4 linked regions of the Lepisosteus oculatus genome follow. The main gene of each other region encodes a partner of the protein of the gene in region 3 in a complex. Links are inferred from orthologs where the notes say so. Each region holds a gene or a part of one and is shown on either strand. Other genes may lie near its edges. The genes, in order: cdc6, cdkn1bb, ccna2 and rbl1.

Region 1 (7,137 bases), on a different chromosome or scaffold from region 3:
TGCGGGTCAGGCAGGCCGTCTTGCCTGTGCCCGGAGCTCCGGAGATGTACAGGCTGCCCGGGCGCCGACCTTTGACCCTCTCGCACAGGAAGGAGCGGATTACGGCACTCTCTCGGTCCCGGGACAGCAGCCTCTCCGGCAGGGAGGTGTGCAGAGCCTGCTTCACCTGCTGGAAGCGGGAATCTGCAGGAGGGGGGCAGACAGTGAGCCCGGGCAGCACCCCCGAGAGGCGGCGAGAGGAAAGGGGGGGGCGGAGGAAACTCACTGTCGTTGGCGAAGAGCCGCACCACGGGGGGGCGCCTCTCTCCCTGGGCTCCGGCGGGAGAGCTGCCCGGCGTCTCCTGCCTGCAGCGGAACGGGGAGCGCGCTGGGGACCCCTTGGCTGTCGGGGTGGTGCAGGCCCGCTGGGGGGTCCCGAGTTTCGGGGAGCTCGGCACCTCAGCGGGGCAGCTGGGAGCAGCCGGCTTGACCGGAGAGGGCGCGTCCCGGCACGGCACGTTCTCGTCGAAGCTCAGCCTGCGCGACCCGCGCGCGGGGGAGGGGTCCCTCAGCCGGCTCTGCTTCGGGGGGGATCCCAGGACCCCCGGGGGCAGGTTGCACCCATTTTCAGCTCCTGCACAGGGAAGACCCCCCAAAGAAAGCATCAGCACCCGCCCAAACCCTTCGGCTTCCCACTAGTGGGCCACCCAGCAGCAAAGCAACACCTGCCGTCGGAAAATAAGTTTGAAAATACCCGTCGCTCAGCTTCAATCTGACGATTCAGCTACAAACAAGAAGCACTTTCAACAGACTATCAATCCATCCATTTGCTCTTCCAATCCAGGGCAGCCAGAGCCTGTCCCAGAAAGCAACAGGCACAAGGCCCACCCTGGCAGGGGAGCCAGTCTGCTGGAGGACAGACACGCACACAGACACCCCAGGGCACATTCTCCCAGGAGCCAGTTAACCCCCCAGCATGTCTCTGGACTCTAGGAGAAGGAAACCTGAGCAAACTTGGGGAGAACATACAAACTCCACACAGACAGCAGCCCAGGACCACAACTGAACTCGGGGTGCTTACTCCAGCGCTGTAAGGCAACAGTGCTGACCACTGCAACACCATGCCCCTAAAGAATCAGAATTCATGCAAGATATATATGGGGGCTACAGTTCTCAAGGTGTTGCAAGTAAATCATGCTCCATTTTAACAAGAACTAACAGCGACACCACCGGCTGCTAAACCCAGCCTTTGAGCGATTCTGACTAACCCTGCAGCTGGGCAGTGCAGAGCAGAGCAGAGACCTGGCGCCCCACGCAGGCGACAGCGGGAGACGCGGCGATCGAGGGGACCTTACCCAGGCGTTTCCTCGGGCTGAGTGGCAGCACAGCCCCGCTGGGCGGGGGCTCGGCTCGGGCGACAGGCTGGGGCTTGGCCGCAGCTGCCCTGGAGGACTTCCTGCGGGGGTACTGGAGCGTGGGCTGGCTGCGAGACCTGGTGGTGGGCATCTGCAACACAGAGACAGCGGGTCTGAGATGAAGCAGCCTTCAGCGCGGGATTGAGTCTTCAGAGCAGAACCAGGACAGGAAGTGACAAGCTAGCACCTTTACAGCAAGCTTTCATTAGATCACTGATGCCTTACTTGAGCTAAGAAGGTGCTTCAATTGAATATTTACATTTTGTTTCCAATCACAAGATTGGGTTTTTACAAAATACAACAGTTAAATCACCAGCATGTTTAAGAGCTGGGGGAAAAAACCAAGGGCAAAATAATCTTATTAGTAGTACGTCAGTGAAGGGGCTCGGCTGGATCAGAACCAGCAGGTGTGGGGGTTCACCGGGCCCAGGAACCTCTGCTCAACACTGACGTCATTCATGCTCGACGCCAGGTCACGGCGTAACAGTGGCGCGTCTTACTCCTACAACAATAGGTTCCCGCGTCTGAAATATCTTTAAGAAACTTAATCTTTATTGTTCCCTTTTTCTCACTGAAGGTCCTGAATCTCGTGGGAAACGTACGTTCACAGGCGAAGAAACTGGTTTCACAGTTCAATTTCACTCGCCCGAGTGACACGACTCTCGCCAGAGTCTCTCCAGGGCCCGTTAGCCCTTGTCCGGCCCCTGCATCGCCGTAAACAGACTACAGTATCGACGACACACAGGCTCTAACCTCGTTAGAAATCGCGTCTGAAGACTTTAGACCCCAACAAACCCAGAGTTACCGGAGGATCTGCGCGGCTGCTGTCGAATGTGCTAGATCATCAATACCCAATCCAAACAGCAGCTTATCACGCAAACTGGACCGCGGGTATTGCAGTGTGGAGCTTTACAGCCTTGAAACTGCACCACTGAAGGCCATTCCGACTGCAAACGGGGAAATTCCAAGCTTTGTAAATGATTTCAGGGAGCGATCCTTGTGCAGACGGGCGCGGGAGTCGCACAGGCCGGCCTGCGGTCGTGGCGCCAAGTCCTGGAGACTCCCGGCGCCCACGTGTGTTTACAGGAGAAAACCCGTGTGACCCGAACAAATACTGAGCAGAAAACCGTAATAACTCCAGAGAAGGTCAGGTCAGTCAACCTTCCTTTTCTCTGTCAACCCTGTCTTCTGTAAGAATAGCGAAGACTGGCTCCCGCGGTTACTGGCGCCCACGGCCAGCAGCACTCACAAACATTCTCGCTTGCAGTTTTTAATCACTACACAGCGCCCCGTTTCTAACAAGTTTCCAAGCGAACGGTTAGGACTTAGGTTAGGTTACGACAGGATCAGTGTCTGTATTGGCACTGTGATGCTGTATGAAACTGTAATCATTTGTAATCGCTGCTATTTAAGAGTTGGCGCCATACAAAATGACCATTTACCCTTGAATTAGGCAAGACCCGAAGAAAAGACAAAAGACGAAGAGATCATACATATACGTAGAACTATAATTTCCACTTACCTTAAAATATCGGTCAATTTAATCTCCTAGGAACCCTTTTAAAGGACTGTCTTGTGTCCTGTTGCAAACTCTGAGATACAGGAACGATTAGCGCCAAAAGCTTCCAAAGCCTCCTAACTCCTCCCGCTTTGGACTCGGGAACGCCTCCTCTCAGCCCTCATTGGGCAGCCTCAGGCTTTGTCCGCACTTTCCAAGTTCTCATTGGTGAGAATCCAGTAAACTACCGCCCCCTGCACCACGCCCTCCTTCCCCTGTGAACCAACGAGAGTCTCCCCAGAGACCCACGGGAAAACACGCCGAGCAGCCCGTCTCCTCGCCTGATTGGATAGTGAGGCAGTTACGTCCTGCGATTGAAGGAGCGCCGCAGGCTTGATTGGTCGACTGCATCGGCGACCCGCCTACAAAACCCAGGCTGTTTACACAACGCCCTGCCATTGGCTACCGCTTGTTATGATGCGCTGTTGGATGTACAGGCAGTGGCGGGAGATTTGTCAAAGGGGTCATTTTCGCGGCATGACTTAAAATAAGTTAAAAATAAGAGGATAGGCGCGTTTGCCGGTCTGCATGCTTATTACTGTCAGTTATATTTTTAAATACAGTATCTGCAACATAAACTTCATTTTGACTGGGCAATGAAGGAAGTCGCATTAATGAAGGGATGCAAAGGAACAAGTAACAGGTTTATTCCATACTGAAAAGAGAAAGAAAACAACGTTTCAGCCGTGGAGCCTTCTTCAGGTGTGAGCCTGACACCTGAGGCTCAGCCTCACAGCTGAAGAAGGCTCTACGGCCGAAACGTGTTTTCTCTCTTCTCTTTTCAGCCTGGAATAAACCTGTTACTTCTTCCTTGGCAGCCTACGCATGCTGACGCATGATTACAATCCTGCGGTGCACGCCGGCTGCGTTTAAAAGGCTCTCAACAAACCCGTCTCCCGAAATTTGCTTCAATGAGCCCTTAAAACAACCTAACCTTTAACCTAGGTGCGTGATATTAACTGTCACGCACTCGTTTCTTACCTTCAGCAATAATCGCTACTTATTCACAACGTGTAGCAAAACGAATATTGCAATTTAGATGAAGCATGTGGCTCTCCCCGTCTCTGAAGCGATGATCAGATACAAGACAGACACTGTCCGATACTCCTGCAGTATTTTTTTTGTCGTTCGGCAGCGTTTCATCTCGCACAACTCTCCCAATCCACTTCTAGACTTGTCCTGCAAGGAGCTGGAAACACTGCTTTCACAAAATATCATCCCATTAACTCCGAGCATAACATGGTGAAGCTTAAAGAAAAAGAAACGAAAATCCGATATCACTCTATGCTCTTCCGTTTCCAATAGTAAGACCCAGCTCAGGTCAGAGCTGCAGAAACCTCGAGTGAAGGGCTTGCACGCCCCAGCTGGACTCCTGCAGCCGGACCCTGCCAACGCGGACACGAACGCGTGACTCACACACTCGTTTTTATCTTCATTTTATTTGAACTGGTACAACGTGGCTGACAAGACAGGTACAATGAAATGGCCCTGAAAGAAAGGACAGACACAGAAGCTCGTTTGAACACGGGCAGGAGCCCCCCTCACTGCGAGCGAAGCAGCCCCAGTAACAGCTGCGGTGTGAGTGAGGCGGACAGCGATAGACAGAAACGGATACAGACACTGGCTAATAATCGGTCCCTGGCTTTGTACAAGCCCACCTTTTTATTCCTATATTACAAGCTTTTTACAACATAAAAAATAGATCAATAGCTATGATTACCATATTTCCCCATAGTCGTAGTGTAAATATACATTATTATCGTCATTTATTTTTGATAAATCTTGTACCAACAAACAATAGTAGTGTATAAGGCAAGACACCAACTAAGATTAATCTTTTAAAAATAAGAGCAGGAGAGAAGTCTAGGCGTCCTCTGTGTGCAGAGAGAGGGGGAGGCCAGCAGAGGGAAAGGGACACTCCCAGTCCCCACACCAAGGGAAAAGAGAATGGAAAAACACTGTTAACATGAGCAGAGCAGGATCACTGGCACAGTCTTCCAATGCATCAGGTTAGTGTCCGAAACAAGACCCCACTGACACCAGCCACCCCAATTCCCCCCCCCATTGCATAGCATCCAGTCCGGGAAGACGGGGACCCCCAAGAGTTCATGCATCGCCGCCCCTGGGCGCCGCGAGCTCGGAGAGTTCAGGTCACGTGGGAGGGCGATCGGCGGGTTTCTTGAGAAGATGACCAGTTTACCTGGGGCAGCAGGCGTGGAAGCAGAACTAGCAGCCAACAGCCAGGAATGAGTGACCCCCCACCCCCCACCCCCAACACACACAATCCTGCAGAGGTGAGGCGAGTTGGGGTACCTCAAGCACACCCCATTTCCATGCATTACGCTCCAGCTGTCCCAGAGTACATGCATTCACCTGCTCCAGTGCCCTCTCAGGATGGACAACTTGTGTCTCCTTTGCAACTAAAGTACCTAAACAAATCAGCACTGATCTGTGCAACTGAGAGGCTGCACATTAAAGGTGGCTGTGCAAACATCCACCCTACCATGTCTGCACAGCTATAGGACACTGACAGGAGCAAGAACCTACAGCACAGAATGGCCTACTGTATGATGTATGATGAACACTGGCATGCTGACAGTCCGGACACAGGGAAGCTGATAAACCAACCCTTTTGAAAGGCTACAGTCACCTATAAGGTACACTAACACTGCAATAATGATTCAGTAATGATGCACTTGCTGCAAGACCAGCCTTAAGGTCTATGACTTCTGCTGAAGGCTGGTGCCTGCACAACTCCCAGGAGTGACCGACTGCAGAACCAGCCTCAATCTGCAAACTGTTAAGAGAATTTAGTCCATTAGTGATGTCCTTAGATATCAAGGAGAGCTTCACAATTTGCCTTTAGACCTGAGCGGTAAACCGTTTCAAAAACATCTCGGAATGAATGCATATGCCTGAACTCTGACAGAGGTCAAACCACACCAAGCAGCGGGCAGTACCCCAGACCCCCAGTACCTGCCTCTGCCCTTCCAACCCCCCGACACACCAGAGCCACCCCTCGCCTCCGCAGGCAGCCTGCAGAGCCGGACCCCCAGCTCCGCCCTGGCCCCGCACCCCCCGCCAAGCGAAACGCAGAAGTGGCCAAGCTTGACAAAGGCAAAAGCACTTTTCCTGAAGCTTGTCTCATCCAACACCGCTACTGATTCACACAGCCGCCCATCATGAAAAGAGTCCAATCTTCCACACTCTCCACCGAGGCCGATCCATCCCTTAGGCGAACTGTGTCCGGCGCTTCTGGGAGAAGGGAAGGAAAAACGGAGCAGACTGCGGGGTTGGCCCGGAGTGTTCTGTTCGGTCCAGCTGGGCTCTCTCACTGCCTCAGCAGGGGGGGGAGACAGAGAGAGAGTGGCCGATGGGTCAGGTTTCTGCACGGGGAGCCTTTCAGAATAAGACTGGAAAGCAGACATGCCACCTGGCTGGCCGTTCGCCAAGCAGCAGCGCAGATCTGGGCGCAGGATGCAGAAGCACTGAGCGCGCGTTGGCACTGGGTGGGGCAGGAGTCTCTCCGCCCTTCCTGAGTGCGGCCGGGCTGTGGAAGCTCAGGGGCGCAGCAGGGTCCAGCTGGGACTGGTCCAGTCGGGTCAGGTCCAGCACAGCACCGCACACGGGCCACAGGCCCCCCTGCTCTCTGGAGGAGCTCCAGGGGGACCTCTCCTTCCGTCCGCAGGACGCTGAAGAACCACGAGACGCTCCCAGCTCAAGGATCGCGGATCCTGCTGTCGTGAAATAACATCTCCAGCAGCGAGAGTGTTCCTTGCAGAGTCCTGCCAGTCTGGCAGGTGATGCCTGCTGGTCTCAACAGAACAGGGTCAAAAACCAGTCGGGATCCCACTGGCGATCATGGGCTGTGGCGAGGAGGGGTGTGCAAAGACAGTGGCCATAGATATAAAAAAAAAAAAATTAAAAAATGAAACCCAACACCTCAAGTAAAGTTACTACAGCTGGCTATTTTTTAAGTGTCCAGAGGTCGAGAGATCGACGGAAGAAGGAAGGTCACGTGCCCCCACCCTCGTACCCTGCAAGCACTGAGGGCTTCTGGCGGGCTCCACGGCGCCCTCTGCAGGAGCTTCCAAGTGCTGCAGCACAACTGGGCTAAAAGTGCAGACCTTGGCTTCTAGCATGACAATGTGGCAAAATAAAATCCCTTGGCCTTCCTCTGTGTTT
Region 2 (7,169 bases), on a different chromosome or scaffold from region 3:
AAACATGATATTCAGCATCACGACACGTTAGCACCAAACTGAAAAATAGGCTTTCAATCTTTGTAAGCAATCCTCTGACACAGTGCTCTGGAGTTTTAAGCCACTTTGAATGAAATCAAAGAAGGATCCAAAATACTGATCTGTGTATCACTTAAGAACAAGTTTGTATTACAGTTTCCTTTAATAAAAATTGCACACAAAAGGAGGCTACTAAATTAAATCAAATCCCTACCTTAGGGTTCTATCCCCCAAAACTTAAAAAAAAATCAAATCTTCCAACTGGGGCACTTTTTATAAAACAGATTTGCAATCCAATCCAATTACATTTCACATAAAACTTGTTGCAAAGCAATTAGCTGTGGACACTGTTTTGCCTCCCAACAATAAAAAGAAAAAAATCTGTTTATCACAGCCTTTAAAAATCACTTAAAAATAAGTGCCTGGAACAAAAAAAAATAAATAACAGTTGCATCTCCCCAAAAGCACTATTATGTTTATTTGACATCTCTACTTTCTTGGCTAACCAGTTCGCACAATGATTTATAACCTCTGAAGGTTCACAAGTACGCACCCAGATGCAATGTGAATACTTTCGTAGTACCTTACTGGCGAACCTTACTTTGCAAGCACGCACGGAGCGGTCTGTGAGCGAAAGTGCTCGCTGCCGTTCTCAGATTGGAACAGGTACAGAAGCAAGAAAACTGGGCCAACCCCTTCACCAGTCAAAGCCTCTCTTGCTGACGTGTTACTACTGTTGTTCAGTGCAGGCGCTTGTTTACAGATACGAGGGGAGCTCACTCTCGGAGGGCAACAGCGCTCTTGAGTTAACACGTCAGATCTGTTTGCTTTTAACCCCTTTTTTACACGTTTGCGTCTGTGTTTCAAGTGATCGTGAGCTGAAATGTCTCCAGCGTCCGTCCCGTCCCCCCCACAACCCACCCCCGGCCATCCTTTCTGAATGGATGATATAAAAGCGGCGCAGCAAATTTTAACCCGCTCCCTCCCACAGCGAGAACACACGAAGCCCCCCTGGACAACACCACTGTTTCTCCACCAACAAAATCCAAGACAATATTAAATTTAACGCCCTAAGTTTTCTATGCCTGCATTAGGTTTTTGGCCTGTTCTTCTTCAGGATGAGACTCGCCTAGCACTAAAAACCCAGAGATGAATTTAATTCGACTGCACCTGCTGTGTATTAACCATTCCCCGAAAACTACGAAAAACGTTTTTTTTTGGGGGAAAAAAAACAGCCCCGTAACAGTTTTAAAGGCATATTTCAAATGTATTTATTTTAACTACAAACTGTACTACAGCACTGTTGTTTAGCGACGGCCGACGAGAAACATACACTAATGCACTAATGAAATCAACCATAACGTCCTGACCAATTTAGAGACAACGCGACTAGATTTTCCAGAAAATGACAGTTCAGGGAAACATAAAGCTTTTTTTTAAAGCGGCGCGGTAGTGAGTTACGTCTGCGAAAACGTTTATAGTTTTTTACAAGACATTAAAATGACGAGAAGGTACCTTAAAATCTTCACTTCTGTTGCCTGGGGTTGGATTTACTGGGCGTTTGTTCCTCTGACCTCGTTACATTAGGGCTCAGGGCAACTTCATCCACGGTAGTATTGGCCCTTTTATTTTGCGATGAGTCCGCTACAAAAAGGAAAGACAAAATTCACCGATTAGCATTTCTTATTTATTTTTTTAACAGAACCATTTGAGAGGCGGGCAGGCGGTATTTTGGTCCGCCGTCTCAAAATTGGACGCCCGCACGCCACCGCAGGATTTGCATGCCGTAGTAAAAAAGCCTTTCAAAAACAGCAAGGGTGGGAGGTGGGGGGGGGATGTGACGGTGTCACAACTACGTGTGCATTTAAACCTCCAAAAATGAAAAACAAAATACGAAAAACAGCCGGACATGCGATACGTGCCTGCGCTCGGGTCGCCCCCGAAACGCACGCAACTCCACTCGCCTCTCGGAAACACTCCGACGCGGCTCCGATTAGCGCGACATCAAATAAGATACAAGACGAAAACAAAAGAAAACCTCCTCGAATGCGCGCAACGCCTTTCACTTTAAAAACAAAAAATTAAAATCTGGACTTTTTTTTCCCGAAACCGTGAGATCGGCGACCCAAAATAAATACACCCGATATCTTTTTTTTTGCTGTTGTTGTTATTGTTGTTTTGTTTTCTCGTAAACGTGAAGCTGATCTCTACCATGGCTTGCTGATCTTTTCCTCGGCGTAGTGCGCTGGTCCCTGCAATCCGTTTGACTTGCCGGTTTCTCCGCACTGTCCCCGGAAAGCCTGTCCCCAGTGCCTTCGTGACACGCAGTCCCCCCACAGCTGTGATTCCCATTAAGATCCAAACTGATATTCCCAGACGGACAGATGCCCTTCGACGCCCGTGACGGCTTCGTGTAGAATCGCGGTACCTCCGTATCCTCCACAATTTCCCACACGTATCTCCCAGGCGAAAGGGGCTTGTGATTCGCGAAATCGAAATTGTATGTCGCCTTGGACGCCTCTTCCATCTCCTGCAAGTGTCCCTTTAAATCTCTCCTTAACTCTTCGTGATCCACCAGCCCGAAGAGGTTTCTGCAAGCCGACGGCTTGGGGTGATCCGACGGTCTCGCATCCATCCTCTCCAACGTCGGGCTACCATTTGAAAGACGGACATTTGACATTTTTTTTGTCCTCTCTCTCCACGCCAGGGGGAAAAAAAAAACAACAAGAGTAAATGAAAATATATATATATAATTCTGTTCGCCTCCTTCAAATCGATCCGACACGAACGCCAAATATTATTGCAAGCAACAACGCCAGCGCAGGCATGCCGTGATCTGAAAAAGACGTGCGAAAACTGTAACGCGAGCAAAAGTAATCTCCGCAGACCATCAAAACAAAGTGCAGTTGCAAAAGCCACTCCTGTCAATTTAGTCTTGTAGTAAGACGGGGGGGAAAAAAAAAACAGACAAGCCTTTTCAGTACCCAATATGGCGATTGAAGGGAGGCTGACTGAGAAAAAAAATGATTGACACCGAGATCGACTTAAACAGAGAAGGAGATTCATTGGTTAAAGCAAAGCGAGACGCCCACGTTTCTTAAGGTGAGCACCGCTGTTTTTCGTTTCTACGGTCTCTGCAGCTTCGTATCATTAAAAAAAAAAAGCCCAAATGCATCGGAATCTCTTGTTCGTTTGGAAAAATTCCTCCGCGGCGATCTTTAAATCCGCAGATTTCTGATCGGCCCAGCTTTGGTAGGCTTGTTTTGTTTTGGCGGAAGTAGGAATTGTAGCCGGAGGAAGCAAAGTCGCTTCCAGATACCAACAACGTTAATACAGAAGAAAAAAAAAAGGGCAATATCTCCCACTGACCTACAGTACTCTGGAGACGTGAAAGAATAAATGACCCTAATCTCAAGCCGTTTTTTTTTTCTCATGACTTGGCATTAGCAAAGGCTTATAGGTGTTAAACGTGAATAAATTCCGCAGGCGTGCACCACGTTGCATTTTGTAGCAAAACAAGGCGCCCGAAAGGCGATTGGAAACGGGTGGTTTGGGATAACTCCCCTAGTCCACCTTAATGCGTTTTGTTGCTTTTGAAAACTGGGGGCTGCGTGTCTGCAGCAACCTTGCTATGATCTAAAGTGTTTTGTTTACGTATAAGCAAGTCACTCCCCGAGCAGAGAGAGTGATACAGGCGAAGGAATAGTAACCACGAAACGAAAAAGAAAAAGGTATAGAGAGGGTTGAGCGCCATCATACTATGGGTTGGGTAGACGGGGCAGTTATTAGTAGGCTGTTAGCTTGACTGCCACATTTTAGGGTCGATTTAAAGGGGTACGGCTGAACTGTAGTAATGCAATGTTTATGGTGCCGTGCCAATGTACAGTAGGATGCGGTGGAAATGATCATTTTTACTTTTCCTTTATTAGTCCACTACTAATTGACGAAAACCTTGCTCAATAAACGATTTGGCGGAGTCACGTTTCCCGTGGCAAGTAAAAATCTCGGGCAATGCAATAATTGAACATGATTAATTGTGCTGTTTTGTGTAATAAAATTGACTTTTTAGTCTAAACCTGTTACTGAGTGTATCACGGCAGCAAACAACGCGTTGTTCCGTTTTACCATATGAGTAAATAATGAGCTTCATTAAGAACTTGGCGCTCATAAAGCATTTGGTTCACGCTTCCCGTTAAAAGATCCCTTGGATAATAAATGTACTATATTCAGAGAATGGTCTACTATCACTCTTTAAAACTACCGTGTTCTAACACTTTCTCCCATAACTAAAAAAATAAATACATTTAGTAAAAAATTATTTTGGAAAGGGGGGAAAAACTTTGCAAAGACTTCAGGAAAGTCAAAGGTCTAGAATTAGGAACAAATGTTTCCAATTTCGAATCTGTTCTGCGTGTTGAATGTTAGAGTGATTTGGTTTCTCTTCTTATTTCTGTTTCATGCTTATTTAGATTATGTACCATGATAATTAAATACTGCTGTTAAAAGTTTATGATGTCACTTACATATTTTTTATTGCAGTGATACTACTGGCACTGTTGACTTGAGGTCTGTCACGTTTAAAGAGTGGATGATGGTAGCAATTTAAAGCTGTGTCAGTAAGTAATTGACCTTAGGAGTACAGGTTCAAATAAAATGAAGAGACCCTTTGGCACGTGTTTATAAATTTACATTTAGAACATGTTTTATGTCATGTTGCAGTTGTGATGTCTTTTCAAGGGTATATTCCAGAATACAGAAAAAAAAAACTGATTATGGGATTAATTTAAAGCTTTTAACACACCAAATAATGAAACAGTTAAAATGTTAAATCTGTTTTGGAGCTGTTAAGAATGTGGTGTGAGACTGTGATGTAAAGTAACCAAATTTTTCTATCTGTTAGAAGTATAAACAGTGTGTAGGCACATCACTTGATAAAACTTTGTGTAGGTGGATTTAAATATATTGAGATTGTAGCACCAGCTCTTGTTAATAGGTGGTATTCCAGTTTTACCAGAATTTACAATATTGTGGACATATTTTACACCTAAATAAATGTTTCTGTTCTTACTTTAAAACTGCAGGACCTGCTGCACATCCAGTTATATGAAAAATATATTTGTACACTTTACCATTTAACAAGAATCTGGCCTTCAGTATCGTTCAGTTCAAAAGGTCAATGTCGCTGGCACAGGAAATGGAACAATGATTCAGTCGTGTGCAAATGCATTGTTAGTTTGAGAGCTAGGGATAAGGTTAGCTTTAGGACAGTTGTTTTAGTTACAGATTAGTGGTGCCAATAATGAGCATTAATATACTGTAGCTACAGTGCTGCATCAATAACATTTTACGCTACTGAACAGCAGTAATTCTCAGTGGGAATATTACATAAGGGTACAACAGAGAATTAGAATCTAACTTAATGAAATAAGTGGTACAAAGTAAAGTAAGTGGCACAAAAAGCAAAACAATAAATTTAGAGCAAAGTGGGATTTGCCTTTGCAGAATATACAGAATATACATACTATACTTCAACTGGTTCACAGTACATCACCATAAAATTAGAAACCAGAACTAATTTTCGATGTGATTTCAGGGCTGGAGTTTGGTGTTTGTAGGCCCTAGGCACTTTCACTCCAAAAAGATGGATAAATGCCAATTGAAGGACGCCGACTGACATGACAGTACTTTAAACTATTCTGATGCTAAACCACGTGATTGATGGAGCGAGTCGAGAGAACAGCCGCTAGATAGAGTATGACTATTGATTTGGAGCACCTCGAGTCGAGCACAAGCGTGTTGTTTCAGCTCGTTTTTCGTTAGTCACTAGTGTTTCCCTCTTTCGTAGGCCCTAAAAATGTTTCGTAGGCCCTGTGCCTACAGTGCCTAATGGGAGATCCGGCACTGATGTGATTTTGTTACAATAGGCAGAGTTAGCTTTGCTATGCTATGTATGTGCTCAACTCTTGCACAAAGCCCTCGTCATACTTGGCACTGTCTTATCACTGTCAGATTAAACTTTGCTACAGTAAATACTTTTTTATATTGGCATATTCCTCCATAATGATGGCACACAGTAGGCATTGTGCGTGTTGTTTACTCAAAGAGTTTACAAGGTCATAAAGTTGACGTGCAGAAGAACATGTGAGATGAGGTAATGCCCTGGGGGGAAAGAATGCTGATCATGCTGAATTGATCTTTTAGGAGCAAGGAAATGCAGGCAAATATCGATTTGCTTTTTTCTCAACAACATGTCTTTTACGGGCACATTATTTGTTGTAGGCTACAGTTCAATAGGCTGTGTTAAGAGTTGCATTTCTAGCTTCGGCATTATAATCTCTTGACCATAGGCTGTCATAACATGTCTTGTTCTGTATTATTTACTCCTTGGATGCAGTTTGACCTTTTAATGTTTTTTGTTTGTTTGTTTTCTGCACAATAGATTATTTTAGAAATTAGAATAAAGGTCTTGTAAAACCCAGCCATCCGTTTGCTTCATCCAGTACAGGGTTATATTTTGGATGGGACAAAGGTTCATTATAAGGCACAGACAGACACACACTCGCACCATTTTCCCCTGAAGCCAGTTAACCTACCAGCATGTCTTTGGACTTTGGAAAGAAACCCAAGTGAACATGGGGAGAACATGCAAACTCCACACAGACAGCACCCCAGGAATTAAACCCAGGGTCCCAGCACTGCGAGGCAGCAGTGCTAACCACTGTACCACTGTGTTGCCTGCATCTACAATATATAATTATGTTTGTTTATCATAATAAAAGTCTCACTGTATTGTAAATATAGAATAACATTTGGTCAGCTTTTACCAAAGTACACAGTTGTAAACGATGAGTGCATTTCATATCGCAAATTAAACAAAACGGTATGGAAATTACCCCCCAAGAAAATAAGCTATAAATTTGTCTGCTCCGACATGTTTTCTTAAGGGGAAAGAATTTAAAGTGTGCCTTATTGTGCCTGGGAGTGGATTCTATAGACAGTACCAAAGAAATGAAAACATTGATCGTTATATATATATAACTGAAAGTTTAGGGTAAATCAGAATATTAAACATTTTTCAAATGTACCATCGTGCCTCAACGTGACTGTTCAGTGTGCAAAGCATAAATGCAATAAAGGCAATTTCATAATTG
Region 3 (7,790 bases):
ATAAATGGCTGACCCTGCGCTCTGACCCCAAGCTTCTCTCTCCCCGTCTGTGCCTGTGTGTCTCATGGAGAGCAAGCTGGGGTATGCAGAAAGACAAATTCCTAATACAAGAGATTGTATATGGCTAGTAAAGTGATCTTATCTCTTATCTCAATGCTTAAAATGCAACAGAAAAGACAAGTATCTAATTATCCAAAAGGAAAATGTATTTTCTACTTATCGTGGAAATAATTCTTTAGGGTAGTTATTGGATGTTATGTTATGTTCTCTACCATGCTTTTTAATTTCAGCAGTTGTTTTCATGTTATAATCTTGACTGACATGTTATAATATGTTTAATTTTAAAAATGTATTAAAAAACATACTAGTGTCACTGCAGGAATAAAGAAAATCTAACTTTTTCTACAGTTCCGTATACAGTATTACATTTAAATGTTAATGGGTTTTTTTTGCAGGTATGATTACGGATCTCTTCATTGACAAATTCAAATTTAAAGGACAGAATGTCAAGACTAAAGTACCATTGCTGCTTGAAATCTTGGACAACTATGAACTGAATTCTTTAGTGGAATTTTTTGATTCAGCATAATACTGAGATGTAAACAAATCATTGAAGTTTCATCCAGTGTGGTATGTTTTTCCTAAGAAGCTACAGTAACATTTTTTAAATTTTGTGTTGTATTTTTAAGAAATGTTATTTGGAAATACAAGGGAAGTTATTGTTTCAGTTTTCAAAATATCATAATTTTCCCTGATACTTTCATACATTTTAACTCTGTAAAATTGATGTATTTATAAATGATATGTACAATAGTTGAAATGTAGTAATATGCATAGAAATTATATGGAGTGGTGTTCTTAGCAAGTACGGAGTTGGTGTTGCAATGAACAGTTCATACAAATATTTCTTCTGACTTATCATTCACATCTATTCCAAATACTTGAGCTGTATAGTGAATATAAGAATTTGATTTTCTAAATATATGTTAATGTTAATATTTTTCTATGTTAAATAATTCCAGATTAATTTATGTATACAGTTACCTTACTCTCATTGGGGCATATAACATTTGTGAAATAATCTTAAATAAACTTAATTATAAATGTTTAATTGTCAGTTTGAGTTATTCTATTAAATGAACAGTCCTGCTCAGGATAAATTAAGTACCTTTCAATGAAGAGCTGCAAACTATATGTCTGTCACTCAATAGTCTTGTGAATACACAGAAATGTTGTGATATGCTGAAGATTTAAGTGATTTTTCAAGATGAAATGTAGGTTATAATCAGGTGGGATGCTCTTGGTGATCAGGGGGGCATTTTAATATTGGATCTGCTGAATTAACACCTGGTGCAGAGCAACCCAGGGAAATTAATGAAAGTGCTTTCCTGCATTGAATTGTCTGCCTCCCAGGCTTTACAGGAGGAATAATTCAATCTTGATTGCAGCACAAAAGTGATTTGCAGGTACTTTAATGGTTTGGTGATGTAAATGCAAGGATATTTTAAATGTAGGCAATCTGTGATAGTGAAGAACCAGTGTCAAATAATTACTCCATAGGGATCATACAGACTTTTTCAGGAATACTATGTTAAGAAGAAGTAGCATTAAAATTGGCTATTTGATGTTCATTAGGTACAACTTCCATTAACACCATTAAAGATACATTATGTGCGTGAGTGATGTGTTTGTTTTTTTTGCAAGAAAAATATTATCTGTACTGTATCTGTAGCATAGGATCTTTGTGAATGTGTTGATTTAATGCATAGCTTTAAATTAACTACTAGTAGTATATATGTAAACTTGAAGAAGGCTCCTGAAGAAGGCTCCACGGCCGAAACGTTGTGTTCTCTTTCTTCTTTTTTTCAGCATGGAATAAACCTATTACTTGTTCCTTATGTGTAAACTACTATGTTTATATGTAAACATACTGTATACTATGGTAAACTAGACATAACATTTAATGTTTTTTTTAAGCCCAAGGATATTGTTTGTATTCACATACTAACCCTGGCTGCCAGCAATTAGTATATCAAAATAAATCATACAAACACCTGTTTTTTTCAAAGGTTCTTCTTCTGTTCCTGTTGTTAGGATGTTAAAAATTGCTTTCCAAGGAACGTTTTAATACATTTATTAAAAACTCCATGTAGTATTCCACATTTCCAAAGGTGTATTAATTCCTCCATTTTCGAACCACTTTATCCGATACAACCTTGCGAGGGTTCCAGAGCCTACCCTGGCAAGCAGCAGGCTCAAGGCAGAAAACACCCTGGACAGCATTGCAAGACACACAGAGACACACACGCGCTCGCACCTAGACTAGTTTCTTTAGAAGCTAATTAACCTATTAGTATGTCTTTGAACTATGGGAGGAAACCCCTGCAAACACATTTAAACTCCAAACAAAAAAACACCCCAGGAATTGCCCCCAGGGACCCAGCGCTGTGAGGTAGCAATGCTAACCACTGTACAGCCATGTTGTCCATGTGTATCAATACACAAGGGTTCAATTAATAAAACCTAAAATGTAAGAACCTAATTTTGAGGTGGCAAAAAAGCATCCGTATTATTTGTAACCACAAATTCATATCAGATTACTCTGAAATCCTAAATAATAATAAGTCTTACATCCCCTAAAACATCCTTAAGGGGATAAAATCACTTCTTCAGATCTAACTAAACACCCCAGGTTAACATCAGAAGTTAAGGTACTTATGTGCTAAGTTGAGTAGCTTTTTTGTACTTTTGTGGCTGATCTTGGAATTAATGTGATCAGTTAACTGGAACAATAGCATCTTAATTTGCTAATCCATCTTGGTGACTCCAATCAACAAGTCTACATTGCAGACAAATTAAGGCAATAATTAAGAGGTTACAGAGCCAAATCGTTTCACAGTTCTGGTTTGCAGTAATCAGAAAATGTGCCCTGGCTGTATTTAACATTTCAACTAATCCATCTTATATTTAAAATTTGAATTTGTATCATGGAAAATTCTGAAATTAAAACAGTTTAGGATTTAAAGTGGAACAGTGTATACCAATTATTGCTGTTATTACTACAGTTTATGTTTAGTTTTGTGGAAAGTGACTTTTAAAAATGATCCATTACTGTTCAAACTTGCAATTGAGGTAAATTGCAGCACATTGATTTTGTGTTACTTTACATAGCAACTAGGAGTAAGTAAAGATTTAACTCCACACTAAGAAGCAGAAAGAAGACATCGTTTCGGCTGTTGATCCTTGTTCGGGTGTATAAAGCACAGGAGGACAAAGGACTGGGAAGGTGAGAAAGAGTGCAAACGAAGGGAGGTCTGGGGGAGAGGTGTGAAAACCTGAAATCTGTAAATGAATGGAGAAATTCTAAAAAGACGAGGTTTGAGGAGAATCTTGGCTTCTCGTGTTTTTCTGTAGTAGGAGTCCCGAGGCCCCTGTAAAAAGAACTGTCAGTGAAATGAGAAACTATTGTGCTGGAGAGATCTTTGAGCCTCACTGCTCTGAACGGTATTTATAATACTTGTGTTTGTTGTAGAAAATATGTAATCAGGCCAGAAAAGAGGAACTTGATACATTCAGGGACGTAAAGGAATGACATACACTGACAGGCTGAAGGACCTTGAACAAAGAAGACCATGGGGGGACCTCACATAAAGATTTAAAATCCCCAAAGACATTGACAGGCCAACATCTTCAGCATGAACCAGAGGACACACCAGGAAACTATGTGGAATTGTATTTAAAACTGAGAACAGGGGACACTTCTATACCCAGGGGGTGGTGGGTGTGTGGAACAAGCTACCCAGCAATGTTGTTGAAGTTGTTTTCTTCTGATGTTCTTGGATCAATTAAGTACCAAACAGGCTAGATTGGCTAATGGCCTCTTCTCATTTCCACGCTTTTAAAAAAATTCTCCTGTACAAAGTAACTATACACACTTCATGGAAAATAACTGATGCCAAACCCTAAGTGAATCCTTCATTTTCCAACCTTTCTTTTTTTATTTTTGGAGTTATGATACAATTACATTTCATTTACATATAACAGAGATACATAAACACAAAATAAAATATAGCCTTTTTGTCCTTTTGAATAGTACAATATTGGACATTCTCAGTTTGCACATATCCACATTCAAAATGAATGGTAAACTGGACTTTCAAAAACCTTGGACTAATGCTGCACGTTGTAGACAACGTGGCCAGTTCCTAATGAAGTTTATATTTCAATATCATTAAAAAAATGTTTATTTCGGTACATTATAATACTTATGCATCGTAGGAAACTACTAATTATATAAAACTAACAGGAAATTCATCCTATTTTTTAATATTTGAAAAGGAAAATAACGTGCATTTAATGAAGTAGCATTTTTTTACTACTGTGTGTTGTATGAATATATACAATTGATGTCTATAACATTCTAGCTAAAACCTGGGGCTGTACCGTAATGGCCTAAAATGTGCTAAGTGAATCAATCAGTCAAAAAAAGATTACTTCGGCAAAATGTGAATTAATCACATCGTCAATCCAAATATTTAACATAACCTCAAGTGAAAAAAAATATATTGTTTGTTCAGATTACCCAAACACTTGAAACGATCTGTTATGACAGTAGATTTATAGTTGTTGTAATCAAAGTATAATACCGGTCGCTGACTCAATCATATTTGAAGGCTTTTGTCCCGGTTCTTGTGAGACTGAGCCCCAGACAGGAATTTTGGATGTCTGCGCCACCGTAGGTTTGGTGACGTAAAAGGTGAGGCCCGCTCGGATTGGGTGATTTCAATAGTCGCGGGCTACTTGAACAGAGAAAGCAGCAGTCCAGTAACTGCAGGAACTGGGGTTGGTGAGGAGTTGCAAGTTAATCTCTGGTTATTCGGATCGCTAAAAAACTGCAGCTCGAAAATACAAGAGACCCAGCATGGACAGCTGAAAGTGATACGTCTGGGGAGGCGGTGATCGGTTGTTTTTTTAAGTTTGTTTTTTTTTAATTCTAGACTTTGGGAGGGGTATTGGAGGACCTCTTCGTAGTAGAAGACTCTAACCCTGATGTTACAATTTATGTTTTTTCTGGTTGCTTGCTAGTTCATAACGTCACAATTGTTAACCCGGAACTACGGCGGTTGTTTTATTTTAAATTTTAGAACTTTATTTTAGCGTACTAGCTGAGCAACAATGTTTGGTATCAGTCGCGATCACGCTGCGAGTGACTTGCAGAAAAATCAAGACCGGGAAAACATGCTTCTTAAACAAAGGGCTGCTGCAAAACACCGGCTTGAAGATCAAGAAAATATAAACCCAAAAGCTACAAGCAGAAGTGTTTTGGGAGCTTTGCAGAACAACCAGAGAAGCGCAAGACCCCAGCTACAACAAGGAACAAAACAGGTTGGTCGAAGCTCTTTTAAATTAATAAACGATTAAATTATGCGATTTAAATCTAATCGGTGGTGATAATATACATTAGATAAACTTAATCTGAGGTTTTCGGTGTTTCATTGCGGTTTGCAGTCTATCGGTGTTGGTGCTCGTCTGCAATTTCTCCTTTAGTGTGGTTAACTTCTGAGATTATAGAAAGCCGTTCCGTTTTTAAAACGCACAGTGGTCAAAACACTTGATGTAGTCAAGGATCTAGATTAATCATAATTTATTACCTTAGCGCCACAGAGGCAAACAACTGTTTAAATGGCCATTTGGTGTTTCCCAGTGAACAGTCCGCCATTTTCAAGACGGCAGGTTACTGCTGTAACGAGCTCTACACATTGCAGAGACGGGATAAAATTGTGGGATCACTTGTTTTGAAGTGTACTAGTCAAGTTTTCGCTGACGTTTCCGAAGATTCTGGTTTCCCTTTTCCACGAGAAACTAATCGCGCGTCCGTTTTCAAAAAATGCATGCAAGCCATTTCTCAAGTTTAACTTAAAAGGCCGTGGTTTACGTTTCTGCATTAATCTGGATTTTTTTTTTGCATTAACCTGGAATTGCCAACGTTATAGGAACTTGGACTGTAATTCAGTGACCCGCCATTTTAGATGATTATAGAAGCTCTACCTGGCCAATATGGAAATGTATGTAAACGTCCACTAATACTTACTGACGCAAGATGTTATTGTTTTTTGTTCTCAGGGCCATTCGTGTCAAGTGCTGTCCTGCACAAATTCTGAGAACCATGGCCGGGATCCTTCAGAGAAGATGGGTGCAAAGCAGCCCGGTTTCACAATTCACGTGGATGAGCCTGATGGTGCTTGTACCAAGAAGCAAGTGGCCTCCAAAGCTAAAGTCCTCATGGAGAAGCCTCTGTTTACAATTAACCCCATCGCGGGGAACAGACAGCCCCTTTCCGTTATTGAGTGCCCTCTGGATGCCAGTTTTGGTAGGTGTTTCCTGAAACAAGAATGGCTTAGCTTTAAGGAGGTAGCTCCTTGGAGACTGACTTGCAATCAATGGGAAGATTTATAGTTTTAAACCAAAAGAAAACTTACCTCACTTAGCTAACAGTGCTTTTTACTCTTTAACCCTTATGTAACCAAGCCTAGGCTTTTGTAACAAGTGCAGTATACCCTACCACTGTAAAGAAAGAAAGCAACTTCTCATAATTCTAACTAATTTAGAAGTTGGTATCCATTTTAAATCATAATGGCATAACCCCATTGTACTAATTCTGGGCTGTACTTGCTATTTTTTCCAGATTCGCCAGTGGCTATGGACATGTCAGTATGTGATGCTGAGGAAAAACCAAGGGATGCAAATGAAGTGCCAGACTATGCTGTAGAGATCCACAAATACTTAAGGGAAATGGAGGTAAGAATGGATTTTTTTTTCCACAGGCAAACTTGACACTTATATTAGTTTGATTTGAATGCTTGTTGTGGGGCTTCAACTTCCAAATGAAGGTAGAATCCCTTTCCACTGAGGGGAGTATGACCTCCAGCTGATCCAAAACCTCTAAGATGGCTATGTACAGGGGGATTCCAAAACCCAAATGTTTTAACTCTTCATTTTAATTGTTCTCTTCCTCAGATAAAGTCCAGGCCCAAAGCTGGCTACATGAAGAAACAGCCAGACATTACGAACAGCATGCGAGCCATCCTTGTGGACTGGCTGGTGGAGGTGGGAGAGGAGTACAAGCTGCAGAACGAGACGCTCTATTTGGCTGCGAACTATATTGACCGCTTCCTGTCCGCGATGTCGGTCCTGCGGGGGAAACTGCAGCTGGTCGGGACGGCAGCTATGCTGTTGGCTTCGTAAGTCTCACTCTACCACCTGAAACCCCCTTTTCAGTTGATCCTCTTCCCCTTGTATGAGACCTGACTTGGTTCCCCATTGTGTTCAGGAAATTCGAAGAGATCTACCCCCCAGAAGTCACGGAGTTCGTCTACATCACGGATGACACTTACACTAAGAAGCAAGTGTTGAGGATGGAGCATCTTATTTTGAAAGTGCTGTCTTTTGATCTTGCTGCTCCTACAATCAACCAGTTTCTCACCCAGTACTTCCTTCATCAGCCAGTGAACCAGAAAGTTGAGAGCTTGTCAATGGTGAGTTGATGCCAACGATGTTTATTTTTATTGAAATCCCTGGTATTTCACTTACAGGTTTTTAGTTTCCAGAACATACATCACAGACCTTTTGTAGGTCTTCCTCTTTATTTGTTTTGCACTTCTATAGAAGTGCAGAGATGTACAGAATGCATTCATGTCTTCATACCTTGTTAATTTTTTGCAGTTCCTGGGGGAGTTGAGTTTAGTTGATTCGGACCCGTTCCTGAAATATCTCCCGTCGGTTACAGCTGC
Region 4 (7,515 bases), on a different chromosome or scaffold from region 3:
CATTAACAACATCAGTCCCACCTTGGTGGAGTATTAGAAGAGAGGAACTGGCCATTCTGAAGTAAACAGCAACACTACCCCACGCTCCAGCTGCTGCAGGGATGGCGGCTCCAAGGCCGCGCGGGGACAGAGAGGGGGTCGTACCTGTGCTTCCTGCTTCGGGCCGGCCGAGGCGGCTCCCCCTGAGGATCCTGAAACATGTCCACAAATATTGGCTCGAACTTCTTGAAGATCACGGTCGAGACCTCGAAGTTTCTCTCCAGGCGTGCTATCCTCTCCCGGAACTCCCGGGACAAACTGGACATGTCCGCCCACTTCTTCATCTTACTGAAGAACTGTATTAAGCTGGGGTCCGGGCGAGAGACAAGAAACGGGGAGACAGAAAACAGAGCAGGTTATGTCGGGGAATTCAACTGCAGAGACACATGTTAGAACAGCTTTTCTAGACCACATGAATAAAAAAACAAACATTCTTAGTTGGTCTTTTCTGAGAGGGAGTCTTTATTATCCCCGAGGGGGCAATTTGTTTTACAGCAGCAGTGCTGGCGTTCAGATGGGCGGAAAAGGGTAACGGTTAAGGTTAATCCGGTGACCTGGGGAGAGTGGGGGCTCACCTGAGCTTGGAGGACCTCAGGATCCTGGTCAGGGAGACACAGTTGCCCTCCATGACCCCCTTGCCCACTGTGGGGGTCCAGCCCTTCCTGCAGGCGGCGTAGAGAGAGCAGGCGAGCCAGTGTGCCACTTCACCCTGCAGGATGAGCAGAATATTATTATATTATCTTATTTCCCATAAATACAATAGGATTCTTATCCACACTATTCTCTCAGGACATTCGCAGCACAGCAGATACCACACAATGTACACAATACATTACAAAACATAGTGACAGAATGTACAGACAATAAACAAAACAATAAATACATGGTATAACCTAATAACAACAATCCTTAGGACGAGCATCACAGACCAGAACCTCCAGAGCAGCTACACACAGGATAAACAGGAAACCCCCCTCTCCCCCGTCACAGAGCTCCTGGATTTGTCTTTCCTTCCATGCGTGAATGGGTGTGGGCTTCATATCACAGATGGGAGGGTACAGCCATCGTCAGCTTGCGTTTCAAGAATGTCTATTCCAGCCTGGTCAGATTTTTCTTTGGGGGGAGGGAGACTGCTCCGAGTTTAAAAAGATGCTGAACACCTACCGACTCCCCAACAAGCATCACTGTTACCAAGAAGAAATACGAGTAGCTGGCTGCATCAGCATGCGCAGGCGGAGCAGTGGCTCTGTGGCTCAGGATCTGCGCCTGTGGCTGGAGAGCTGCCGGTTGAAATCCCGTGGCCGGCAGAGGAATCCTACTCCGTTGGGCCCCTGAGCAAGGTCCTTAACCCCAGCTGCACCAGGGCGCTGTACAATGGCTGACCCTGCGCTCTGACCCCAAGCTTCTCTCCCTGTCCGTGTGTCTCATGGAGAGCAACTTGGTGTATGCGAAAAGACAAATTTATTCCAGGCTAAAATGTATTTCTTATGAAGAAATTGTGTATGGCTAATGAGGTGATCTCCTATCTTCTCCTAGGCTGCAAAGGAACAGGTAAAGGTTTATTCCCTGCTGAAAAAGAGGTGCCCCATGAAGGAGGCTCCGCAGAGAAAACGCTGCTTTCCTTTTCAGCCTGGAAATCACCTTTACCTGCGCCTCTGAGATAATAAATACTTCGCGCTTCGAGACCTCGAACTGAAAATGCGCACAGCCTGCCACTACGAACACAAGCAAGAGCAACACACAACACACAACAACACACGCCGTCCCCCCCCTGCGCCGCGCCGGCCAATGGCGCCCCGGCAGCCCCGTGTCTCCCACACACGCCCCTCGCTTCCCTTTAAAGCCCCGACCAGCCCCTGTCCTCGGTTCGGAAATCACATCGGAACTCCGACATGTTCCCCCTGACGCTGCCGGCACACAACAGACCGGGCTGGGCCAGCGATGTCAGCCGGGACCCCCACGTAAACAAACACAGAGTCGCCGGGCGGGCACAGTCCTGCTCCTCCGCTGCGCACAGGAGAGGCGGAAGACAGGGGGGTGCGGGGAAACAGACCCGTTTCGGGGGGACAGACGGGGGTGTGTTGTTTACAGACTGCGCGACCCTGGCGGTGCAGCTCAGCTGCCGAAGTTCATTCCGCCGGCTGCGCGCTAACAACGACCTCCGGGGGGAGGGGGGCGAGAGAGACACCAAAACACAAAACGACAATAAGACAGACAAACACACACACACACGGACACTGCCGAAGAGAGCTTCCCGGGCGCTTACTGCGTTTGGAATTAAAAAAATAAAACCCGTAAAGACGTCGCAGCGGCGGCGCATCCTGGGTCTGCCTCACCTCCAGGGTGTATGTGTCCCAGATGGCCGTGAAACTCTGGAGGGCTTCCTTGCCCGTCTGCTCGTCCATGTTCAGCTCCTGGCACAGCGCCTCCAGGGTCCGCCGGACGTGGCCCTCGTCCACTTTCCGGGGCTCGGACCCGGCCTCCGTGCCGACTTCGGGCATTTCTCCGCCGCCGGGTCTATTCGCCGAAAGCGCAGCCTGTTTACCTCAGCGCAGCCCCCCGCTCCGTCCCTCCGGCTCCAGGACCGCTATCCCACAATGCCGCGCGGCCCCAGTGGCGCGAAAATCCACCCCGTCCTCCACCGCCGCCGCTCAAACATGGCGGCCCCAGGATACACACTGTAGTCTACCGAAGTTTCTGTCTTTGTCTCTAATGTGGTGCTGTATCGGTCCTCCGTTAGATTAACAGTTTGGATAAAGGTATAGAGAAGTCGGTCAACTCTGAATTTGGTAATTAGGTTATTCCAATGTTTTAAAAGATTATTTTTGAACGATTTAAATCATTCATACCCGTAACCATATCATTATTTAACACTTGACTTCCATGCAAATATGTATTTTGTTGTTCCTGTCGGTTTTTTCTTCTGTACGTCAGTACACCAACACTGCTGCTGTAAAACAACTTGCCCCTTCCCCCGGGGATAATAAAGACTCAATTGTAAATGAGAGTATCTTATGGTGAGAACTGTGGTATTGACAGTGACAAATACTAAGACCCATGCTGTTGAATGTAACACCCTAGCTCCTCAAAGAATAGAGCTAAATGACACCCAATGACATCAAACTGCCAGTCAAACGAGGTGAATGCACTAGATAGTCTCCCCTCATTAAGATTTCTTGTGTCCTTATCAGGTATATTTCAATGCTTGCTGTCCAATTAGAAATCACTGAAAGAAAACTCTTGAACTTCACATTCACGTAATTTGGTTCAGCTTGCAGTCATTTTCTTTAATCTGCTTATGCTAGCAAAGTCAATAACAATAAAAGACTGTAAATTCATATTCCATTCTAGCTGTTCTGTTCAACTCTGCTCTGTTCTTACAGGTTATGTTCCCCTAACACAAAAGCAGAAGGCACACTTAAAGTGAAAGTTGAAAGTCATCTTTTATTGCACAATAAAAGATCACATACCATGTTTTGAGTTATGTGATTGGTCCACATGGGAATACAGGAGCTAGTTCAACAAAATAAAAACTAACGCCGTAAAAGCTGCAGAGGCAGATTTCAGATCTACACAGAACACACTCTGCTTCTGTAGCATACAATCCGGAATAGTCTTGGGTTCAGGGAGAAAAAAAAATTACACCCGGGTGGCTAACCACTGGCCATCACTGCATTAAAAGAAAACTACAATTCCAGTGCAGGTGGCTGTGGTCCAAAAAACCTTTAGCCCCATCTGAGCATCACACTGTCTGTTCATGCAATAAACTCCCAGAACTAAACACCGTACTAAACAGGGCTCTGTGAGGCACACTGTCTGAATTAAGCTGACAGTTTTGCTTGTTGACACAAAATGTGTGCTTGCAAGAAGACACACCAGCTCGTTTTAACTTTATGCTCTAGGCATGGCCAGTGATGTCAGGGTTTTATAATCATCCATTTTTTAACCACTTCTTCTAGTTCAGTGGTACGGGGGAGCAGGAGCCTATCCCAGCAAGCAACGGGCCTCCGGTAGGATGCACCCTGGATGGGGTGCCAATCCATCTCACGACAGACACAAACACAGACAAGCACACACTTGCACCCAGGGCCAGTTTTCCCAGAAGCCAATTAACCTACCGGTATTTTTTTAGGACTGTGGGAGGAAACCCACATGAACACAGGCCGAACATACAAACTCCACACAGACAGCACCCCCAGGTCTGGAATTGAACCCAGGGCCCCAGAGGTGAGAGACAGCAATGCTAACCACAGTGTCACAGTGCCACCCAATGGGACATTTACAAGGACAAATTCGGTAAAATACCAAAATGTTTCCTGACAATTAACCTTGAAGAGCCCTGTTTTAGAACAACAGATCGCACATTATTAGTTACTAAAGTATACCATCAGCCGAAGATGAGAGTCATAAATCTGTGATGATTGATAAACGATAGGGCTTTGTGTCAGAAGGAAACCTCTTTCCTTTCTGTTGGAGTAAATAAGTGATTTTAGTGTTGTAGGATTACATTACTAATTATACTATGTACTATTTAGTATTGTGCTCTAACTAGTACAGTACAGGTGCTGGGATACCAGTGCATAACTAATTACAAATGACAAAAACCTGACCTAAACAAAAATGAGAAATAAAAAAAATTCTGGATAAAAATAAGAACTTGCAGGTCAAGAATATAAATATGTTTTTTATTATAACTCCACTTTCAAATAGCTTGTTATTCACATTTATTTATTAATGGAAAACGACTCACATAGGAAATAAGTCTAACTGGAGGTGCTTTAATACAGTACACAGACACAGACGCTATGATTGACAGTCACAGACAGTGAGACACTCAGACAGCCTGGATATTCTTTGCCTAGTAATTCATTATTCAGTACAATAAAGTTTCATTTTTAATCTGCTGCAAACTATCCCTGCTTCCACTGGAGGCAAAAATAAGATTTTTTTTTTTAAGGAAAACTAACAGCGTCAGTGTCGAAAAGAGATTTGGATCCTGCAGGTTTTCCTTCTGAACCCCTTATAAGTTAGAATACAGGTATAAAAATGATACTGGTAAGAAAGAAGTGTACAATAAATACATCTGAAATACACACGACTCCAAAAACAATCTGACCTTTGGATAAATTAGCAAGACTGTAACAGAAAAAAAAATACAAACATGGTAAATAGCGACAAACGACAGAATGTAAACTGAATAAATACTAACAGTTTCTGTGACCTCGGCTGCCCTTAATTACTGCTCCAATGAAGAGATTCAAGTCTTTCTCCCAGCAAACGCAGGGAACAGGTCCTGTCTGTGAGCGGGTGATGATGGTCAGCTGCTGCTGGGCTTGTCCCACTGTCTTCGTGTTGCGACGCCGACGTGATAGCTGAGGGAACTGTTTCTTTTTTTCTGAGGAGAGTCCAAACGCTCCAGCCAGACTTGTGTCAGAGGGGCAGGAAACTAAAACTGCGCCACCCAGTTTAGTTGTATGCACACACCTTCTGTTGCCAAGCTCAACGGGGTTTTGAAAAGTATCATGACGGTGGTGAAGACACGCAAACGTGCCAAGTTACTCAGAATTAGTAACACCATGCTCAGGCAGTCTAACAGTTTTGGGAAGCACAAAAAAGGGATCGCTTAAAATCACTTTTCACCAACAAAAGAACATTCATGTGAACTTGCAGCAGAGATCTGTGAAATTCCTCAGATTTTTGTGCTTATGAGATCACTTGAGAAAATATTAAGAGCATCAGATTGGAACACCTGTCTTTGCATTATTATTATTATTATTATTATTATTATTATGTACTGTGCGTTTTGCTTTTTAAATCCAGAAGCAAAAAGGTTACCAAGAAAGCAAAAAAAGTATGCATACAACTAAAGGGAAATTTCAAGGAACTCAGGCCAGTGAGATTCTTAGACCAGGTTTCAGTTTTGATAAAATGAAGTTCTACACTAAGTACTTTTATATACATTTTCAAATATGGAAATGCACAGAAACATCCATAGGCATAACTCTAAATAAGGCATTTTGTACTTCCAATATAACTAAATAATAACAAAGGACGATAATGATAATGGTTTCTCATTATATTTGGTAACGTTTGGCAAAAGCAAAAACAAAAAACAAAATAAATAAGAAAATAGGAAAAAGCCACCAGCTGTTTCAAGGCAACATCAATGCTAGTTGTGAAAAGTGAGACTGATGACAGTGCGAACCTGCTGTGGATGAGGAAGAGGCACAGTTTCCAGGTGAGCTTCCACACTAGGAAAACCACAAAGAAAACCTCCAGATGCCAGTGAGCCTGCCACGCCCTGCTTCTCTGTGCAAAAACATGTAACATGTAACATAACACAGGAAAATCAACTGTTCTGTCAAAGTGGCTTAGCTGCAAACGGACTCAGAAGCTTTAAAAACGCAACAAATGAATACCAAATCCAGTAACATTCATCGCCTTTCTAAACGCCTCTCAGTATAAAATAAAGAGAGATGCCAAACACTAGTATATCAACGAGGTGTGAAGTTACTGAGAGGTAAAACTATGAAGTGGAAAGGACAGTACTACAAGCATGGAGACAACTGGTCCTGATTGTGTCAAACACAGTATAATGAATTAAACAAAATTACAAGGGCACCTTGTAAAAATAAAATATAGATTTTACATCATTTAAAAGTAATAGATTTATCAAATCTACCTTCATATGTAAAACAGGAGAAAGGACACCCTAAAACTTTACAATAAGCTAAACACTCTGCTGGTGCATTAGTCCTTTCGTGTTCAGTAGAAACTCCTCCACTGCACTGGACACAAGGGGAAACTTCCCACCTGTTCCTTCAATCTTTACTCAGCTCGTCCACTCCCTCACTCCTGCAGCAGCGCAGCACTGACGCTCATCATCTCCCTCACTCCTGCAGCAGCGCAGCACTGACGCTCATCATCTCCCTCACTCCTGCAGCAGCGCAGCACTGACGCTCATCATCTCCCTCACTCCTGCAGCAGCGCAGCACTGACGCTCATCATCTCCCTCACTCCTGCAGCAGCGCAGCACTGACGCTCATCATCTCCCTCACTCCTGCAGCAGCGCAGCACTGACGCTCATCATCTCCCTCACTCCTGCAGCAGCGCAGCACTGACGCTCATCATCTCCCTCACTCCTGCAGCAGCGCAGCACTGACGCTCATCATCTCCCTCACTCCTGCAGCAGCGCAGCACTGACGCTCATCATCTCCTTCACTCCTGCAGCAGCGCAGCACTGACGCTCATCATCTCCCTCACTCCTGCAGCAGCGCAGCACTGACGCTCATCATCTCCCTCACTCCTGCAGCAGCGCAGCACTGACGCTCATCTACTCCCTCACTCCTGCAGCAGCGCAGCACTGACGCTCATCATCTCCCTCACTCCTGCAGCAGTGCAGCACCGCTGCTGTGACAACTGTAATTCTGTCTTTGAGGGTCACAGAGCTCTTAATTACAGAACAATTCAATCAAT

The links.
Region 1: the proteins of ccna2 (region 3) and cdc6 are in contact, whole or in part, in a crystal structure (PDB 2CCH), measured with the Homo sapiens proteins. The link is inferred for Lepisosteus oculatus from reciprocal best matches to the Homo sapiens genes CCNA2 and CDC6. Residues at the interface, in NP_001228.2 of Homo sapiens: Met210, Ile213, Leu214, Trp217, Glu220, Val221, Glu224, Tyr225, Arg250, Leu253, Gln254, Glu277, Tyr280, Ile281, Thr282, Asp283, Thr285; in NP_001245.1 of Homo sapiens: His89, Thr90, Leu91, Lys92, Gly93, Arg94, Arg95, Leu96, Val97, Phe98, Asp99, Asn100.
Region 2: the proteins of ccna2 (region 3) and cdkn1bb are in contact, whole or in part, in a crystal structure (PDB 1JSU), measured with the Homo sapiens proteins. The link is inferred for Lepisosteus oculatus from reciprocal best matches to the Homo sapiens genes CCNA2 and CDKN1B. Residues at the interface, in NP_001228.2 of Homo sapiens: Met210, Ile213, Leu214, Asp216, Trp217, Glu220, Val221, Glu224, Met246, Arg250, Gly251, Lys252, Leu253, Gln254, Leu255, Tyr280, Ile281, Thr282, Asp283, Thr285, Tyr286, Thr287, Gln290, Arg293, Met294, His296, Leu297, Lys300; in NP_004055.1 of Homo sapiens: Lys25, Pro26, Ser27, Ala28, Cys29, Arg30, Asn31, Leu32, Phe33, Gly34, Val36, His38, Leu41, Thr42, Asp44, Leu45, Glu46, His48, Cys49, Asp51.
Region 4: the proteins of ccna2 (region 3) and rbl1 are in contact, whole or in part, in a crystal structure (PDB 1H28), measured with the Homo sapiens proteins. The link is inferred for Lepisosteus oculatus from reciprocal best matches to the Homo sapiens genes CCNA2 and RBL1. Residues at the interface, in NP_001228.2 of Homo sapiens: Met210, Ile213, Leu214, Asp216, Trp217, Glu220, Glu224, Arg250, Gly251, Lys252, Leu253, Gln254, Tyr280, Ile281, Thr282, Asp283, Thr285, Tyr286; in NP_002886.2 of Homo sapiens: Gly654, Ser655, Ala656, Lys657, Arg658, Arg659, Leu660, Phe661, Gly662, Glu663.

What each region holds. Positions count from the first base shown.
Region 1 is NC_090723.1:9,685,910-9,693,046, reverse strand, and holds the start of cdc6 (cell division control protein 6 homolog), read right to left. Parts: upstream 3,006-7,137; 5' UTR 2,917-3,005; intron 1,486-2,916; coding exon 1,335-1,485; intron 614-1,334; coding exon 266-613; intron 184-265; coding exon 1-183. UniProt on the Homo sapiens protein: Involved in the initiation of DNA replication. Also participates in checkpoint controls that ensure DNA replication is completed before mitosis is initiated.
Region 2 is NC_090702.1:5,914,497-5,921,665, reverse strand, and holds the start of cdkn1bb (cyclin dependent kinase inhibitor 1Bb), read right to left. Parts: upstream 3,001-7,169; 5' UTR 2,699-3,000; coding exon 2,230-2,698; intron 1,663-2,229; coding exon 1,544-1,662; 3' UTR 1,534-1,543; intron 1-1,533. UniProt on the Homo sapiens protein: Important regulator of cell cycle progression. Inhibits the kinase activity of CDK2 bound to cyclin A, but has little inhibitory activity on CDK2 bound to SPDYA. Involved in G1 arrest. Potent inhibitor of cyclin E- and cyclin A-CDK2 complexes.
Region 3 is NC_090696.1:10,719,416-10,727,205, forward strand, and holds the start of ccna2 (cyclin-A2), read left to right. Parts: upstream 1-4,788; 5' UTR 4,789-5,175; coding exon 5,176-5,385; intron 5,386-6,123; coding exon 6,124-6,370; intron 6,371-6,685; coding exon 6,686-6,798; intron 6,799-7,017; coding exon 7,018-7,241; intron 7,242-7,330; coding exon 7,331-7,535; intron 7,536-7,722; coding exon 7,723-7,790. Other genes in the region: bbs7 (Bardet-Biedl syndrome 7 protein), read left to right, coding at 456-589. UniProt on the Homo sapiens protein: Cyclin which controls both the G1/S and the G2/M transition phases of the cell cycle. Functions through the formation of specific serine/threonine protein kinase holoenzyme complexes with the cyclin-dependent protein kinases CDK1 or CDK2.
Region 4 is NC_090711.1:748,596-756,110, reverse strand, and holds the start of rbl1 (retinoblastoma-like protein 1), read right to left. Parts: upstream 3,008-7,515; 5' UTR 2,541-3,007; coding exon 2,376-2,540; intron 749-2,375; coding exon 615-748; intron 346-614; coding exon 145-345; intron 1-144. UniProt on the Homo sapiens protein: Key regulator of entry into cell division. Directly involved in heterochromatin formation by maintaining overall chromatin structure and, in particular, that of constitutive heterochromatin by stabilizing histone methylation.